Linked DNA regions of Stegostoma tigrinum. The protein of the gene in region 1 interacts with the protein of each later gene in a biochemical or structural test. Links are inferred from orthologs where the notes say so. Each region holds a gene or a part of one and is shown on either strand. Other genes may lie near its edges.

Region 1 (3,753 bases):
CAATTCCACCCACTGTTGGGCAGTTCTATCTTCAAGCTGCTTGTGTCCTAAACTCTGGCATTTCTTCCCTAAACTTCCCAGCCTCTGTATCTCACTTGTCCTTATCATCTACAAATTGGATCAATTTATTGATCATCTGCCATAGTATCTCCTTATGTGGCTCTGTGTCAAATTTCATTTAATACTTGCTCGTTTGAAGACAGGATGTTTTAATATATTAAAAATACAGAAAAAATATAAGCTAATTTTAATAAGTATACACACTGTTTTATAATACACACCAAACCATGTGTCATCATTTTGAGTAGTGACTATTAATAGAGCTATCATGCCCATATACATCTCACACATGACTGGATACTGAGGGATAAATTGTCCCACCTCTTGATCATTGTAACTTCATTAGAAAATCTGTTCACTCAGAAAATCAAATTGCACCCTGACATCTGGGTGGGAGAAAGAAGTTTAATTTGCCCCTTGTGAATTGAATATATATATTTTGTTTCATGCTATTTACACTTATGATGTAATGACAGCCAGACCCAGTGAGCTGAAATTCACTCCCAATCCATATTGGGGTTTACCAATGTCATCTTAAACTTTCCTGACCGCATCCATGTTATGGAACCCTCCTGTGGTGCTGTGGTAGTGTTCCTACCCTGGACCAGGAGGCTTAGCGTCAAGTCTGACCTGTTTCAGGGGTGTGTGATAGTAACTCAGAATAGGCTGATTAAAAATACATTTTTGTTCCAGACCACAGTATTGTCATTGGCCAGTTGTTCATCTAATACAGTATGCTTCCACCAACCAATCAGACTTCTGTGTGATCTGACAGGTTGATGCTTGGCTCTCAGTCAAATATCTGTTCACTTGCTCCTGTCTCCAATAATAGCCAGATAGGAGGGATCACATTTGCATGAATGAAAGTGCACCCTCTTTTTTTTAGAAGTCCCAGTGATTTTACTCAGTGTTCTGGAGACTCAGGGCCAATTTTGAGAATTGACAACACCAGTCCACACTGAGGCCACATTGAGGAATAGTCTTTCAAATGAAGATTACCATCCAGCATAGAGAATGTGGGTTCACCGGAAAAAGCTAGACTCAAGATCACTGCCAGCATCACCTGGAATAGTGGCCCCTGCACATTTTAAGGTCTTGAGCAACAATTCACATTTGATCATCATCATTAAGGTTGTAAATAGTCCCAAGGAGCTTCATAGAAGTAATTACCTACCAATATTTGACACCTGAAACACATACAGTGTATTAGAAAATGTCTGGTAGGTTTTAAAGAGATTTCTAAATGAACAGAAGGCATTCCCAAGCTTTTGAGACCCCAGTGGGCATAGCTGCTGCTGGTGGAAGCCTATACCTGCTATAAACGGGGGCCCCTCCTCCTAGTCTATAATAAAGAATAATTCCAATTTCACACCAGTGTTTTGGCCTTCACTAATGCCTTTGAAAATAAGCAAATTCCCGATATGGGAGAGACTTCCTTCAGTTTCAGGTCTATCTCTATGAGTTGCAGTGGAAATCTAAGTCTGCTGTGTCAACCAGCTCCCCTTTATCCACAGCATGTGTTACTTCCTCAAAGATCTCCAACAGATTGATTAAACATGATTTCCCTCTTAACCTAACTTGCCTGTTCACTTCAGTTAGACCTACTTTCTTATCACCATAATTACCCTTGTTTCTGTCTAAAATACTAGTCTTGGACCCACTCCTCTCTCTCTCTCTCTCTCTCTCTCTCTCTCCAACTGAAAGTAAAATTCAATCATATTATGGTCATCAATAACTATTGGGACTTTCACTTCAAATCCTATCTTATTGCACAGCACCAGATCTAGTATTGCATGCTCTCTGGTCGGCTCTGAGAAACCATCCTGAAAAATATCTATGAAATCTTCATCGAGCCTATCTTTGCCCATTCAATTTTCCAGTTTGTACCACATTAAAATTCCCCATGATTTTTGCCAAACCTTTCTGACATTCCCGTCTGATTGCTTCCTATATTTGCCATCTTATGTGTATTTACTATTAGAAAGCCTATATACCACTCCTATAAATGGCTTCTTCCCTTTGTCATATGTCATCACCATCTAAACTACTTCTGCATTCTGGTTTCCTGACCATATGTCATTCCTCTCTATTGTACTAATGCCAGCTCTAATTTAAACAGCATTATTGATGTAACCAAAAATAAAGTATAAAACCACTGCGATTAGATATTGCCTTCGGTTCCGGGACAAGACCACAGCTAACGTAAATAGATTTCAGTTAAAATCTGTGTGGATCTCCTAATCACAAATTCTGACAGTCCAGTTGGAGGCCATTCAGTAGATTATGTCTATGTCTGACTGTAAGTAATATTATGTCTCTACATGGGATACCCTAAGTAATTAACAAACTATTTATATTTATTGATCACCCCATTTACAGACTACTATTTCAGAAGTAAGTTATCATACTTAAATAAATAGTGTTGCATTATATTAGTTTGAAAAATTGAGCCAGGACTATAAAACGTTATTATAGAAAAGTAATTTCAATAGGAAGTTGTATGCACTGAGAATTCCAAGGTGTCTGTACTTTTTTGCTTTACTTAAGTTGCACAGCAGGAGTATAATTTGTCATGAAAAGTTATTTACCTGCTTATTCTATTAAACTTCAATAGCAGATGATTGCAGTCAATATTTGAACAGCAGTGAAATTGAAAATACAGATTAGCAATATGTCAAATGATTAAAACAGACACAGGGGAATGTGCGGACACTAGTTATATTGCGATGTTTGCTGCTGACAATTAAACTCGAGCCGTATTTCTATCCAAAAATTAATCCAGGGCAAAATAATGCTCACAAAAAGTGCTTACCAAACTCTGGTCGGTTCAGTTGCTAGTGAATCTATGAATGTTGTCTTTTGTAGGTGCAATCTACACCTATGGACTTTGATCAAGGTTTGGTTAAAAGGTTGAACAATTCAGCAGAGCACTCGACATATTGTGGAATGCTGATACATTCCCTTTATCACTGTGTCCAATATTTAATTGATGTGACTGCTTCCATGAACTCTTTACTAGGCAACGTTTATTTGTGAAATTCTAATAGCAATGAATCTCTAATAATTAATGTGACCACAAAACTCCCACTTGGATAGGGCACTGTGTAAAACTCTTTACTGTTTACTGTCATAACTAAGTGACTGTGTGTGTGTCACTCTAGTTTGGCAAGCTTTTTCTCTACTGGGTTAGTCTCTAACCTGCTGAAGGGGCTTTGAAAATGTTTGGCTGCTTATAAGTTGCCCAGAACTGGATGCCTCAGAATACTGTATCAGATATAATAGGAACTGCAGATGCTGGAGAATCTGAGATAACAAGTTGTGGAGCTGGATTCACACAGCAGGCCAAGCAGCGTCTCAGAAGCAGGAAAGCTGATATTTCGGGTCGAGACCCTTCGTCAGAAATGGGGGAGGGGAAGAGGTTTCTGAAATAAATAGGGAGAGAGGAGGAGGCGGATCAAAGATGGATAGAGGAGAACATAGGTGGAGAGGAGACAGACAAGTTAAAGAGGTGGGGATGGAGCCAGTAAAGGTGAGTGTAGGTGGGGAGGAGGTAGTTCAGTCCAGGGAGGATGGACAGATCAAGGGGGCGGGATGAGGTGAGTAGCTAGGAAATGGGGGTGCGGATTGAGGTGGGAAGAGTGGATAGGTGGGAGGAAGAACAGGTTAGTAGGCGGGGACGAGCTGGGCTGGTTT
Region 2 (3,753 bases), on another chromosome or scaffold:
AATCAATGACCAAGACCATGCTGTCCAGCTCTGTAGCGATTTAAAACGGCCTTTAAAATGGTATTCCTCAGCTTCACGGTGAACGCCCAACCTTAGCACAGTTTCAGATGTGTTTGGGGCGCAGCCTTCTCTCTGGTTCGCTTCCTCCGTCATTGTTTCGTTTAAAATTTTACACATTTTGCTAACGCTCAACTCTTGTCTTTTAGATGTCTGCGGGAGGTAGCGGCCAACGCAACCCCCCGACAAACAGATACCTCCCATGTTTGTCATGGGGAACATGTGCCTTGCAAATATTGCCCTTGTAGATATCATCACGCAATCTGCTAACACGCTTGGCCATCGGTTCATTTCATGTTGGAAAACCATTGTTGCCACATTGTGGAGTCTTTGAGCCGGTGCTGTTCTGATACTCGCCCGGACGGAAAGCATCACTAGCTTCCTGGTTGCGCCGGAAAAGTTTGCACCGTCGCCTCTATCTGGGGCTGGAAGATTTTAATCTTAGCTTTTTACCATAATAGCCAAGTCCAAACTTGACTCTGATCTGAGGCGCACTGTGGCTCTCCAAACACCCTGATGGCTAGTTTCTTTAAAATATAAGGAATCCTAAATTCGACCAATTCGAATCTAGTACGTGAAAGATTTCTCTGACCACTGACCTTTTTTTTCAAAATTGAACGTGTGGATTCCGTATTTTTTTAAAAGAAATACTAATTCTCAATCCATTTTACCTAAGGCGTGTTCGAACAAAACAAATTCGCAACCATGACCTGACATGAAAGTGCAGGCCAGACTGATGGAGTCAATATTTCACCAATAGCCGCCCAAGCACAGGCTCTCCCCCTAAACCTGACAGTCAACTGTTTACAACTCAGCCATCCGCTGTCAGAAAAAAAACGAGAAAATCTCACTGCACCGGTAGTGTTCCAATTTATAATGGTCAGCTTTAAAAGGGTAGCATTCGCACTTCAGAAAATATCACATCAATTTTAGAACCGACCAACCATTGAAGTCTCTGGGTTCAGGATAAGATTGGCAATGGATGTGGTCAAATCACTGCAAGAATGAATGAGTTCGCCCCTTGTTCATATTTCAAACAGTGAGATGAAAGCAGACGCAAGAAACGTGCTGCATTTCCATTTGAAACAGTACAAGAAGCGCGTAGAGCAGGGCTCATTATTTGCTCAAGAGAAAATCGGCCACATTCTGCCTGAACTAATCTCACCCAACACCACTGAACTGATCTACCTTCATAGCAGTCGTTTGTGTTTAAAAGAGGTGAAAGATCGATACAGAAATCGAGACGAACTGTCGCCCCCTCTCCCCACCCAAACACACACACTGAAACATAATTAACTATAACCGAGTGACTTCTGTTCCAGCTCATTTCCATATCCCTCACTCGTTTAGCATTGTAACCAATTCAATGGGTTAAGCACCCGATTTCCGATCCGCTAACTGGAAGGCTTCCTCTCCTCGGCTGCATTGCCCGCTCCCTGCCTCGGCGATCCTTCAATACCTTGGCCGCCAAGTTAGTCTTTTGCCGACTTTCTACTTCGTTAAATGAGAGACTGACGTTTGCACCAACTCCGCCGAACGTTTTCGACCCCTAACTTCGATCATTGTTTTATGACACCTTCATACATTTTTTTGAAAAAAAAACACACACACGACATAAATCCACTCGGTTGCACTAAGCAGATTTCTCTGTTTATTCACAGGTGTCGGTTTTCTTACTATTCTCCCTCACCTTAAACTCACAACCACGTCTGGAAAACTGTCAAAAAAACTCATGGACGCTGTAAGATTCTCTGGAACTGCCGCGTCCACCTTGATATTTGAACATATATCAGCAATGCACCAGGTTACTTTCCTCTCTACTCCGTGCAAACACAAAACAAACAGCGGCTATAAATTCTGTCCCACGACAACAACAAACAATAAGCAGTGACCTGGCCTCAAAGGGACTCCTAAATTCAGCCCAGCCCGCGGATGCTGTCAAATGAATGAACCGTCTTCCCTACCTTGTGCTCGCGTCGCTGCCCTGTTCAGAAGTAAAAAAGCCACCAGAAGGCAGGTCTCCGGCACCGGCTTCCACCACATTGTCAAACTGCAGGTCGGAAAGAAAAGCCTTCCCTTTCTCCCAGGTAGATCCCGTCTGCATCCACAAAGCCTCTGCTCTTGGTGGAGGGCGAGGTGTTTGGGTGGTAGGTGGCGGCGAAAGCCCCTTCAGTCCCCAGACCAGGGGAGGCGGCGGGTGACGGCGGGTGACTGCGAGGATAACGGGGATCTCAGCCCCCGGTGCACCAGAGGACAGGGTCAAGCCAAATCCCGGCAACCTCCTGAACCCGGCTGAGCCCTCCGCCTCTCCCGGAATGAAACCTTTCACATGCTTCAGACCGGACGTCAAACTTGCTCAAACTTCCCAGGCACTTATTGAAATATGAGGGCTTTTAAAGTTGTACACAGTCCAACTCCCCCGCTCCACCTTTAATCCGTGTGTGGCAATGATGGGGATTTGCTTCTGTCAAATCTCAAGTTGCTCCAGACTCGTTGTAGTTTGATCGCGTTTTTCTTTAATATAAAAACTTTTTTTGCTGTAGCGGCGAACAACTTGCAATCTCTCCATCCAAAGAGCTAATTCTTGTCTGGTGGAGGTGATGATGGGGAGATATGGGGGGGGGGTACAAAAATGGGAAAGTTTGGCTGGTTCGAAGTGATGGGGAAGGGGAGCTCTCTCTCTCTGTCTGTCTGCACACCCCCAACCCTCCTCCTGTCACAAGGTGGGGTGGGGAGAAATCTGAAAAGGTTGCCACGCAGGGGTGATTGGTGTTGGGTTTGCAGGGTGATCGCTGCTGCTGTCCTCCTCCTCCTCTTCCTCCTCCTGCTTGCTCCTCACCAGGAGCCGGTCAGACCGTCTGGCCGCCACCGCCGCTGCTCCAGCTACTGCCGATAGCCCGGGCTCCTGTCAATCACCAGCCCTAGACTCCGCCCCCACCATTCTTCTCCTCCTCCCTGCAGCGCGCTCCCGTGAGGCAAAGCGAGCGCGCCTCCTCCCCACTTCTCACCCCAACCCAGCACCCGCCAAACACCGCACGCCCGCACTTTGCGCGCGCCCTGTCTTTCCCTCCGCCCCCCTTTTCTGTTCTCGCTGCCTGCAGCGCCACCTGGGTGCGGCGCGGGGAAGTGTCGGCTACCCCAGAGCGCGAGAGTCGGGTGCTGCCGGGGTAGGAGCCCCTGGCGTTGAATTTGCTTCCACTGCTTAGCACCTGCCCGTTCGTTTGCAAAACGTCCCTCCCCCCGCCAGCCCAAACAAATAAAACCCCAATTTTGCGAGTGAGCTCGGAGCTTGCAACACTATTCCCTCTGCGGTAATCTTTCAGTACCAACGGCGAAGATCTGCAATTGCGCCATAAATTCTCCCGTGCCCACCCATTTTCCGTCCATTGGAACGGCGTGCGAATATTTAGGGGTTGTGCTCGTCCCGCTGGGCAGAAACGGATGAGAGAGGAAAAGAAACGAAGGTGAACAGGGTGAAAATGATGGACATTGCTAGTAAGCTGGTAGTGCACACGATTTTAGGGGCGAAATGTTTGTGTTGCAAATCAGAAATAAAAACAAATAATCACAGAATTGCTGTGATGCATAAGTAGGCTATTGAACCCATCATGTCGACACAGAATCTCAAAGTGAGCATTATGGTTCAGTGCCATTCCCCTTTACATTTCGTCACAACCCTGAATATTGTTTCTTCTT

What was found.
Region 2: the proteins of pdzk1 (region 1) and sdk2b interact in a test that uses a peptide from one of them, tested with the Homo sapiens proteins (2 studies listed by IntAct, with this or other methods). The link is inferred for Stegostoma tigrinum from reciprocal best matches to the Homo sapiens genes PDZK1 and SDK2.

What each region holds. Positions count from the first base shown.
Region 1 is NC_081359.1:15,468,780-15,472,532, reverse strand, and holds the start of pdzk1 (Na(+)/H(+) exchange regulatory cofactor NHE-RF3), read right to left. Parts: upstream 2,994-3,753; 5' UTR 2,873-2,993; intron 1-2,872. UniProt on the Homo sapiens protein: A scaffold protein that connects plasma membrane proteins and regulatory components, regulating their surface expression in epithelial cells apical domains.
Region 2 is NC_081375.1:25,461,181-25,464,933, reverse strand, and holds the start of sdk2b (protein sidekick-2), read right to left. Parts: upstream 2,913-3,753; 5' UTR 2,101-2,912; coding exon 2,022-2,100; intron 1-2,021.